Linked DNA regions of Ovis aries. The protein of the gene in region 2 purifies or fractionates together with the protein of the main gene of each other region. This does not show direct contact. Links are inferred from orthologs where the notes say so. Each region holds a gene or a part of one and is shown on either strand. Other genes may lie near its edges.

Evidence for each region.
Region 1: the proteins of ARPC1A (region 2) and ARPC4 fractionate together in Homo sapiens (co-fractionation; 7 studies listed by BioGRID and IntAct, with this or other methods). This does not show direct contact. The link is inferred for Ovis aries from reciprocal best matches to the Homo sapiens genes ARPC1A and ARPC4.
Region 3: the proteins of ARPC1A (region 2) and ACTR3 purify together in Homo sapiens (affinity purification with mass spectrometry; 7 studies listed by BioGRID and IntAct, counting the BioPlex papers as one, with this or other methods). This does not show direct contact. The link is inferred for Ovis aries from reciprocal best matches to the Homo sapiens genes ARPC1A and ACTR3.

The regions. Positions count from the first base shown.
Region 1 is NC_056072.1:16,893,185-16,896,930, forward strand, and holds the start of ARPC4 (actin-related protein 2/3 complex subunit 4), read right to left. Parts: upstream 2,255-3,746; 5' UTR 2,221-2,254; coding exon 2,218-2,220; intron 1-2,217. UniProt on the Homo sapiens protein: Actin-binding component of the Arp2/3 complex, a multiprotein complex that mediates actin polymerization upon stimulation by nucleation-promoting factor (NPF).
Region 2 is NC_056077.1:37,465,848-37,469,493, forward strand, and holds part of ARPC1A (actin-related protein 2/3 complex subunit 1A), read right to left. Parts: intron 2,604-3,646; coding exon 2,391-2,603; intron 93-2,390; coding exon 17-92; intron 1-16. UniProt on the Homo sapiens protein: Probably functions as a component of the Arp2/3 complex which is involved in regulation of actin polymerization and together with an activating nucleation-promoting factor (NPF) mediates the formation of branched actin networks.
Region 3 is NC_056055.1:178,988,833-178,992,578, reverse strand, and holds the start of ACTR3 (actin-related protein 3), read right to left. Parts: upstream 2,407-3,746; 5' UTR 2,193-2,406; coding exon 2,149-2,192; exon of another isoform or gene 1,437-2,148; intron 1-1,436. UniProt on the Homo sapiens protein: ATP-binding component of the Arp2/3 complex, a multiprotein complex that mediates actin polymerization upon stimulation by nucleation-promoting factor (NPF).

The DNA.
Region 1 (3,746 bases), on a different chromosome or scaffold from region 2:
TTACTGGCATTGAATAGACAGAAGTCAGGGATACTGCTACATAGCTTACAATGTACAACAGAATTATTCAGCCCCAAATAGTGCTGAAGTTGAGAAACTCTGGTCTAGAGGCACACAGGTGAATAACTGTCTTCAATCTGCGCTTTGAGTCAACAAATGTATATATCTATAGTGTGCCAGGGCACACAAGGGGTTGGGAATTCAATGACCAAGACCATTTCTACCCTTAAATAGTTCAACCAGGTCAGGGAGACAGACAGTAACTATGATACAATGCATAAAATGTGAAATAGTTAAGATTTACAAATCATATTTGCAGAAGAAACTGGTTTTGATTTGAAGATGGAAATAGGATTAGGATTTTACAATGATAAAAACAAAAATGATATTCCTGGTAGAGGAAATGGCATCTAGCAACAAAGGACTTTCTTCAATTCCTTGTATTAGCTAAAAGTTCTTTTTCACCCCAGGCCTTCACACATGCCAAACCATCTATCTTGCAGGGTTTTCTCCCCCTTCTTTGCCTAAGTCATCCTTTAGATCTTGGCTTATTCAGAGAAGGCCTCTTCTTTCCTCAGAGGTCATTCTTGACTTCCCTTTTCATAGCACTTATAATTTACAATGATACACCCTTCAAATAACTCCAAGAAAAGTAATTTTCTCCTTTACTAAACTGAAAGCTCCATGGTTAACAGACCGTATCTATTCTACTCAAATTTACATACCCTGCAACTTGCTCAGTCAGGACCTTTCCTATACACCATCTTACTCAGTTTCTGTACAATAAGTGAATGAATGAAAAAATAACAAGATTAGAGTAACAAATAGGGGCATTACAGTAGTAATGAGTACAATGTTGCCAGGAAGCATTTTTTTAGATTCAATGGATGAGGTTGCAGATGGGGTCCAGAGATTCATGAGGAATCTCAAATGCTAGGCTACTGAGTTTAGCTCTTCTGTTAAAAGTGGTAAGGAACTTCTGGGGCTTTCTGAGGAGGAAGTTACACAACTACAACTGCATGGAGACTTTGTGGAGAATGGATTGGAGGAGAGGGAAGTGACAGAGCCAGCAGAGACGGTTATTTAAGTAGGGTAATAAGAGCCTGGCCTGGGGCAATGAGGGACAAGCAAGATTGTATCTGTCAAAGTTCATAGCAAATCTGAAAAAGGTACATTTTGGGTGGTCAACCCTATGACGTCTGCCCTTTCACAAATGGAGTAAGCACCTTCTTGTGTAATACTTCAACAAGTATGATGTTTAAAAAAATCAAGAGGCATCCCCTCAGTTTAACAACAAAAGAATATCCCAGGTTTCTAGCTGAGGTAAGAAAACACAGAGCAAGAATAAGGAATACAAGAGAACAAGCAAATTTAGGGAGAGGTGAGTTTTAATCCAGACGTCTAATTTCAAGGTGTCTTCAAGATATCCAGGTAAACCTTGAAAGAGAGCTAGGAAGGCAGATTTAGGAGTCATCATAAATTATATGGTCATGAAGACCTGTGCATTAAATAGGTATCGACAGGAAGAAGATAAAGAAGGGGAAGGCAGTGACCCAAACTCTCAATTGACGTTAAGAAACACCCACAATGATCAAAAGGGACGACTTCCTGAAAGGCAAAGGTCAGCGGCATCAGAGCTTAACATTCCATATTAAGGCTGATACGGTTGAATTCTGACCAGGAAGGGGTCTGCGTGGAGGCAGCAAAAGAGAGATCCTTCAGTGAGGTAAAAGTAAGAGCTGGTGGCAACATGAGGAGTGGGAAAAGGAAGTATGGAGGCTTCCCTCAGAGAACTGTGGGATCAAGCAAGCGAGAAAGAAAAGAGTTTATTTAGTGAACGTCTACTCTGGGTAGGGAGGTATTCCTACTACATGCCTCAGCGGCCCTACTACGGGCTATAAGGTGTACTACGTGCCTTCGAGGCGCTACCACAAACCGAGGAGGAGCGACTTCCGGCTTCTTTCTTGCCTCAGTATCCCCCACCAGCTTCAAAGGACAGAATAGGAAGCCTCAAAGCCTGCTTCTTACGAAGGCGTCCCCCGCTCGCCCCTTCCTCACCTCAGCCCCTGCCCCGCCCTCTTTCTTCCAGCCTCAGGGTACCCCCGCACCCCCAGCATCCCTCGGCCCAGGGCCTCTCCGCTCCAAAGTCGCATCTCCCCCAGACCCAGAGCCTAGAGGCAGAAGACGGGGGTCCCTGGCCCGAGGCCCGGCTCTCACCATCGCGGGCGCTGGCTGGGCCGGAAAGCGGAAGTGCGGAAGTGGCCCGCCCCGCGACGCCTGCCCTTTCTCCAGAAGCGCAGCCGCAGTCTCCGCCCGGACGTCCGGACTGTACCATCTGTGTTCCGAGCGGGGGAGGGGGAGGCTAAGAACATTTGGTCCCTCGTAAGTTTTCCCGTTAGGACTGTCTTAGTAGCTTTAGGCTTCTGTAGCTTAAAATCACTACTCAAGATTCTCCCGTTCCCCATGGAGCTCTTGCTTGTGACTTTGGCTTTCTCGTCTTTTTTCCGCCGCCTTCCCTCATAGTCATGCAATGGTGCAGCCCGACCTCAGGTTGGCACCATATTAGGGCAAGGCAAGGCGGAGGAGCCTTTCGATCCTTCCGGTTCTGCGCCCCCATCCTATCTTCAGGCCCCTCCTACCTGCAGCCTTTGGGGCTCGGCGAGACTAACTGCCGGGCCGAAAGCCTGGCTGCCGAGCCCCTCCCTCCAGCGCCGGGGTGTTCCCTAGGGTACGCCCGTGGCATACCTTCTGCACCCCACCTGCAAGCGGGCTAGCTCGCTGCCCGCAACCCTCCCCCACCAAAAGACTGGGGTTGGTACTCGCGTCTTCCCGCCCCCTTGTCAACTGCAGGGGGCCCTCACATAGCCAGTTCCGGGGCGGTTGCTCTCACCGACCGGAACTCTCCGCCCCTCCCGCGGCCCCGGGGCCGCTGGAGGCAGCAAGGAGAAGGTAGAGGGGGCGGGGGCCGCGATAGGGTGTCCTTAGAGAACTGGGACCCTGAAGGCGGGACATTGGGGCGATCCATGGGTGGGGCCAGCCATTAACCAGCCCCACTTTTCCTGTGCCAGGCACTGAACTGAGCTCTTGACTGGCATCAACTCTAAATCCTCAGAACATCCCAGGGAGGTAGGTACCATTATTACCCCATTTTACAGATTCAGACTTAAGGGAAAACAGATTCAGGCTTCTTTTGTCCCCATTTTACGCATGGAAAAACCGACTCAGAATCAATTAACATGTTCAGGGCTACATAGACATTGGTCAAGCCTGGGCTTGAATCCAGGTATATCTGGCTGTCCAGAGATCCAGGTATCTCTTTACTATGTGGGGCAAAGAGAAGGGGCAGAGGTGGGGAGGGGTGAGACAAGAAGAGGCTGGGAGGCACGAAGAACATTAGCCTAAGTACCGGATGCTTGGAACTCTGGGCTCAGCAGAACCCAGGAAGAGTGGAAGTGACGGGAAGAGCATCAGAAAGACAAGCATAGTAGTATAGTATATCATGGCAGTTAGTTGAACAAATTCAAAACTACCTGGATTCATGTTGGTAAGCTTGGACCTGCTGCATGCTTACAAAGTCTGTTTCCTCCTCTGTAAGATGAGGATGAGCATGGTCCCTGCTCTTGGGGTTGAGTGAGGAATTCAGTGAGTAGCCAGTAAAATGTCTGCCCCTCACTTGGCACACAGTAGGTGCTGTGAGAATAGTAGCTAAGCCATCACTCTCCCCCGAAGCTGTCGGTGGATGGAAG
Region 2 (3,646 bases):
TAAGAGAAATACTTACAGCAGCCACGACGCTGTTCTCTGAGACGAACGACACACTCAGGAGGGGCAGGAACTCTGTCTTCAGAGTTGAGACCCTGAGCACGAGAACACCGGTTAACACACGCTGGAAGGGGCCACGCAGCCTCGTCAGACACAGGGGGTGACAGGGCACATGTTCTCAAGGGGCGTCACAGCGTGAAGGACGGACGCTTCGTAAGAGGAGCCCTGTGGGGACTTCCCTGGGGGTCCAGTGGCTAAGACCGTGCTCCCAATGAAGGGGGTCCCGGATGAGATCCCCTGCAGGGAACTAGATCCCACACGCTACAACAAAAGATCCCACATGTGGCAGCTGAGCCCCTGCGTGGCCAAATAATTAAAGTGAATAAATCTTTTTTTTTAAGAGAAGCCCTGTGACCTCCAGCAATCTCCAGCACGGGCGAGCCCCGAGGTGACCTGTAGCAGCAGGGGCCTCTGCCCCTCTGGCTGTGCCCACCCCTCCCGGTTCTGTCACCCTGGCCTTGGTTCCCTGCTACCCACATGCCCTCCTCCTGCCCACCTGAGTCCACCCTGAGTTCTGAAACTCGGCCTGGGTCTCATCACCCCCACAAGCAGCCTTCCTGCACCACTGCAGCCTGCAGGGCTCCCCTCTCTCTGGCCTCCTAGAGCTGACTGTCACCGTCACTCACGACCGAAGGCCCTTCTCTGACGCCATCCTCGTCTGTGCTCACAGGGGCTCCGAGTGGGCCGGGACCACAGACATTCATGGAAGTCTAGTCTGTGCCCGTCAGACACCGGGGCTGTAGCTATGGCCACTGACGAACAAAACAGTGCTGGCCAATGAATGGGCCATGTGTGTGGGCACATGTATGCTTCGTGGCCATCTGCCAAGAAATGATACAGATACAGCAGCAAACATGCTGACTGATGGAGGATCAGATGCCCCAGAAATGCGTTGCGGTTGGGCTCAGTCATGTCAGTCTTTGTGACCCTATGGACTGTAGGGTCCAGGCCGCCAGGCTCTCTGGTCATGGGATTTTCCCATGGAATGGGAATGGGTTTCCACTTCCTTCTCCAGGGGCTCTTCCCGACCCAGGGATCAAACCTGCATCTCCTGCACTGGCAGGCGGATTCTTCACCATTGAGCCACAGGGAAGGGTCACATGGCTCCATGTGAAAGTCACCCCTGCAACCGCCTCCTCCGCCAGCATGACTGGCATTGGATTAAAGCCCTAACGCCTCATCCGAGGCTTTCCTGCAGCGCACCTCGCTCTTACTACAGGAAACACTTGTGTCTGAGATGGAGAAGGGTGGAGGATGTGATCTGACTTGCAGCACCGGAAAAGGCAAATAAGTCAGTAGGACGTAGACAGGGGCTTGTGAGCATTTGCTCAGAGCTCATTATGTGTCACAATAAACTACAGAAAGCAAGCAGCCACGACATCAGGACGTGACTGAAGGACGAGGAGCAAACTGCTGTACAGGGTGCAGAGCACAATCCCACTGGCGCTGAAAATGAAAAGATGTGTGTCTATACATGTGCAGAAAAATCGTCTTGAAGATGATGTAATTTAGGATGCAGGGGGGATGTTTAAAGAAAATTTAAAAACCAAACAAAAACCAACCAGTTCAATCCAAGTAGTGAAAAAGACATTCTCTTTGAAATGTCACTTTGTTGCTGCCATGGGGCAGGGGGAGTCAGATGTGACGGCTTCCCGGAACAGGGTGCCAGGTCAGGAGACCCTGATGGGTGGGCTCCCTCTAGCTGCCAATGGAAGGAGATGCGCCAGGAACAAACGGAGATTCATAAGCAGCAAGGACTGCGGTCCCCCCTCTGCCCTCCAGGCACGAGCAGCAGGTGCGAGCTCTGAAGGACACCCTCCACCCTCCTCAGGGCTGAGCTGGGGCCTCCTCACCCGAGTCACTGCGACCCTGGCCATTCCAGCGCACACCCTGGGTGGGCTGGCTCCCAGGGGTCGGCTGTCACCAAGGCCCCGGGTGAATGGAGCTATGCTCACCAACCAGAGAGAGTAAGAACACGTCCCCCACTTCATCTAAGGCTGTGGGATGACACTCACATGCTGAGGCATTCTCAGGGATGGATTAACTGCCACCCGAAGGAACTCTGGGACCAGGAGCAAACCAGGAGGCTCCTTCGGAGGATTCATGACGGGCATTTCCATTAAGAAGTGTTTCTGGAAGGGAGACCTGAATCTTCAAAATCTCCCCAGATGGACCATCTAAACGTATGAAGGTGACTTTAAAGGCTGCTGTGCAGCCCTGCTAGGGCTTTTATGCTCATGTCCTGCACTTCCACCGGGGCCGAGTGGCCTCAGGCCAGCTGTGGAGAGACCCACGCCACTCCTCTGTAAGTCCAGACAAAGGCTAACACTCACTGAACGCTTTTTGAGGCGTCGGCAACGGACACGGTGCTGTCATGGCTGACCCAGGCCAGTCGGCTGCCGCTGGCCGAGAAGCTGACCCCATGCACCCAGCCGCCGGTGCCGCTGCCCCCAAACTCGGACATCAGCTGACCGAAAGGCATCTTGCTGCCCCAGGGCGTGCTGGCTGGCTTCTCATCCACTTCTTTAATGTAAGCAGAAAACACTCTGTGGTTTAAGGGCAGGGAGAGAAGGAAAAAGGGGATTAAAACATCTGTATGTACTACTAGAAACAGGCCGCAGGCAGCTGCTGGCAGGCACCCCAAGACGCAAAGGTGCCGACTCAGCAAAACCCAAACCCTGACAACGGGCGAGTTCCCACGCAGCTCTCGAGAAGGAGAAGGTTCGGCTGGCTGCCTCCACACCAGTTCAAGTGTGGCCTACGGCCCGTGAGGCACCGCTCTTCAGGTACAGCATCCGCAGGACACAGAAGCCCTTCCCCTTCCCTCCTGGAGGGCGTCTGGGGGAGGACCGTGCTGTCCTGCCTGCCCCTCCCTGGCCCACGGTGGACTCTGCTAAACGAGGCTACCGTCATCATTCTCAACAACAGCGGTCCAGGAAGCCCACACGGACAAACGGCAGGAGACAGGAAACGATCTGCAGCCCTGCAGGAGACCACCGGTACTAACTCATTTGAAGAAAGAAAGGGACATCCCAAGAGAAAGCCAAGGGCGGCCAGGGAGGCTGAGGGAGCAGGCTCTCCCTAGTCTCATCATCCAGCCTTGGTGGCAGGGCTTGTCTGGCATGAAGGAGGGTCTTTTACAGCCTTGGGTCATCGGTCTCCTCTAATTCCAAGAATTAATTCTGTGTGGGAGGCTGTTCTGACCCAGACGTGGGAAGCAGAAGGGCTGGAGACAGTCGGTCCTTCTAGTCCCTTCGCTCTCCAGTGCCATTTCCTTGTACATCTTCTCTTGGAAAACTTCTGAACCCTAACTGCTACACTGCTTCTCAAGTAGGAGGGTCAGCATTTTCCCCAAAGCACCTGATGCTACCGCCCTCTCATCCCACAGCCGAATTCTTACACACATCCTTAACAAAACAAACCAAAAGAACTTGGATATTCTTGGACATAAATCACTAGACAGGTTTTCTGGAATGTCTCCACACAGCTTACTAAAGAAAGCTGCACCCCCATCTCCCAACCCACAAACCAGCGAATAACGAAGCAACATATATTTGCTTTTCTTTTGGCTAAAGGAAAAAAAAAAGCC
Region 3 (3,746 bases), on a different chromosome or scaffold from region 2:
CAATGCAGGAGACACAGGTTCGATTCCTGGGTGGGGAAAATCCCCTGGAGTAGAAAACGGCAACTCACTCCAGTATTCTTGTCTGGAAAATTCCATGGGCAGAGGATCCTGGCAGGCTACAGTCCACCCGGCCGCAAGGAGTCGGACACAGCTCAACAACCAAGACTGGGCAGCATCCTAAGTACAGACTGAACCCCCTCCCCCACACCTCATGGTAACTCAGTCTGTGTTTTAAATTCAAAGCTGCCCTATCAGAAAGACACTTAAGGATAGTTAACCTCAAAGAAATACCCAGCATACTAATTCAAACGTAATCAAGATTTCAAAAGGGAAAAAATTAAATGAGAAAAAGTTAACACCTTACCTAAGATATTACCATTAGGGCAACAATTATCTACACTAATTTTATCGACAAGGCAATAATTACTAAAGCATAGAATATTAACTATGTAGCAATATTTTTCACTGTAACAAAACATACTTGAAAATTCTTTCTCAGTCAAGCTGCCAAATCTAATTTTAAAACTGACCCTAAACATAAAACTACTCCCCAACTGGACTAAGAAGGAAGGCGGGAAAAAAAAATACTGATTCAAGCAAATAAAACTGGATTAAGAAAAATAATCACCTATCCATCAAAAATCTACATAGAAGTTTCATGGCTAAACAACACTGGTTTATTATTATATTAATAAATCGGTTATTTCCTTCTGCACGGCTGGGATTTTACAAACTGCCACACTTTCATAAAGGTATGATCATGAGGATTATAGAGAAATTTCACACAGAACAAACTGAGTGAGGAGTATACCATCCTTTAAGTAACAATAGTTCGCTAAAGAGTAAAAAGGGAAGGGAAAGGCTGACAATCTACTTCTCATAACTCCGTCCAAAATTGGGGGAATTGGAGAAGTAATCATGTATCAGCACAGCATTCACAAGCACAAGAAAACACTTCCAATAGTGAAACATAAAGCAGTCACTCTGCATTAAAACACAGGCAATATTTTCTACGATAGTATAAAGTGTGCTATAAACGCCTATTAATACAAAAGGAACGACCACTTCCACACCGTTATATACTTTAGTAAACTACACTGCAGATCCATAATAACTCCTTGAAAAGCAAGTACCTCCCTTTACAACTCTATTACCTTCCTTCTCTCCTTAAGACACGGTCACAGAATGAACCTATACAACTTAATTTTCCTGGGTGCTTCACTTCCTTCCTCTCAGTGCAACGCAAATATACTTTTTAAGTTCACAGAAATTCATACCTAGCACCAGTACCTCAGCCTATTTGAAAACTGCTTGATTTTGAAAGTTCTAATAAGATGTGTTCAGGTTGGAAACGAAAAACTACCTTATAAGGGTATAAAAGACTGAAAGCAGGAAGCGGCTTTGACAAAACTAAGGAAGTTGCAGCGCGCTTGCTCACTGGGGGACTTTTTTGAGGCAAGAGAAGTAACACATGACATCTTTCTCTCAAATTAAAATGTGAGTTGGTTGGCCGGTAGGAACGTAGTGGGAGATGGAAAAGACCGGGAGTCGAAAAGGAAGAGGAGGTGGGTGGTCCAATGAAAGCCCCGATCTAGGTTCCCATTTTCAGGGTCCGATTCTTCCCTTTCCCCTCCCACACCCCGGGTAGAATGTTGTCACAGCAATCTTGCAAAACCTACAAGGAGCGCTTCTCTTTTCTCGCTCCTTTGCCCGGCCAGTCCCCGCGCTCCATTCCCCCCGGTCTCCAAACCTACGGGCAGGAAAGGGCACCGGGCAAAGGAGGGTCGGCTGTGCGGGGCTCGAAGACCACCCCCACGCGACCGCGGGCCCCGGGGAGGCGCCCGTCCCCGCAGCCCCTCGGGCGGCGCTGCCCACCGCGGTGGGGGAAGGGCCGGGAGGGGTGGCGCGGAGGAAGCCGCTCCCCGGGGTTTCTGGGCCCCGCGCCGCCGCCCGGCTCCCAGAGGGTGCAGCGCGGGGGATGAGGGAGGCCCTGACTGCGGGCCCCACCCCTCGCCACCCGGCGCGGCCCGGGCTGACACAGCCGGCGGCAGCACCTTGCCGCTCCATTCATCTCCCGGCCTCCTCCCGGCCCCGCCATTTTCCTGCCTCCGCCTCAGTTTCCCCACCCCCGCCCATCAGCCCCCTTACCCCGTGCCACAGTCCACCACACAGGCCGGCAGCCGTCCCGCCATCTTCCTCCTCGCCTGCTGCTGCTGCTGCCGCCGTCTGCTCCGTGCCGTTTGGGGCCAGGGATGGGCGGCGGGAGGTGGAAGCTATCTGACCATCCACGGCCGGGCCACCCTCTCCGTCTGGGGGGGAGCCGGGAAGCCGAAGCAGTAGCGAGAGAGAAGCAGGCTCGGTCAGCGGCTACCACTTCCGCAACCCGGGCAGGCAGGCAGTCCCCGCCCTGCCCCGCCGCGGCCTCCTCCCCCTCTCTCTCCCCTCCTCCTCACTCCTGCCCCCACCCTACAACTTCTTCCCCTCACACCGCCTTTCCCCGGGAAGCCAAGATGGCCGCCAGTGCCGACGCCCCGGCCAGGACAGGCCTAGGCCTCGAGCGCTCCCCCTTCCGGCTCCGAGCGGGCGGGGCGAGAGAGCATGCGCACTGAGGAGCGCCGCCGGCTGCCGCTCCCATTCCGAAGGTGAGGTAGTCCACTTCGGGTGTTCTCCAGGTAGGGTTGGGTAGGTCTGCCCGAGTCTCCAGTTCTCCTTCTGAAGCTGGAAGGGGTTTTTCGTTGCAAGTACTTCTGCGCTAGGTTGAGGAAGCAATGGAATCGCATTCCACAGCCACAACTATCTTCCGGTGCTCCGACGAAAACGGCCTAATTGAAAACCTTGTCAGCGGCACCCATCCGATTTTATATCTTGAGCGGCTCCTTTTCTGGTTGGAAAAGAGCTATATCAGACGGAGGGTGAGCCGTTGGAGGAGAGAGGAACAAAGGCTTGCACCGTGGCTCCTCTGCCTTGGTACTGTTTTGTTTTGTTTTGTTTTCTTCAGTTACACTTACGCATTGTTACAACGTGGCACATTACAAGTGTTACTGCAAGGGTTAGATTGTAGGCCACCCGGAGGGCAGGCCTGTGCCCACGAGGAAGGCACACCTCACAGGAATGTAAGCCTTTGGTGGCTTTGAATGAGGAGAAAAAAGTACTCTCCGGGGTAGTTTTAGGTTGTACTATTCTACTTGCAGGATGAAACGACGGATTAAGGACCAAACTTTTTAATTAAAAAAAAAAAACTAGAAAGCCTAGAACAGTGACATTTAAACTTCTCAAAGTGTGCATCAGAATTCCGTGGAAGGCTTGTTAAAGCACAGAATGCTGGACTACATCCCTTGAGTTCTCTGATTAGGTGGTCTGGAGTGGGGCCTAGTAATTTGCATTTCTACCCAGTTCCTAGGTGTTGGTCTGGGACCTCCCCCCACCTAGGAAACCTATAATATTAATAGCTTTTTTCTCTTCTGGTTTATCTTCTGATAAACCATATGGATTCACTTATAGGTGACTGAAATAACATTTTTCCTAAGAAAGGATGTCTGATTGCTTCAGAAGATAACATAGAGTGGTGTTAGACCAGCCTGGGCAATGGAATTTAAGCTTTTCATTCATTTGGCAAATAAGAATTGCTCACCCATTCTATTAGGGCAGGGACTATGCTGACCATTAATATTCAGTAGGCACAAAATGAACAAGTTCTCTCCACTGCCGGGTTTACAGTTTAGTGGCAAAACATACAAACTGTATTA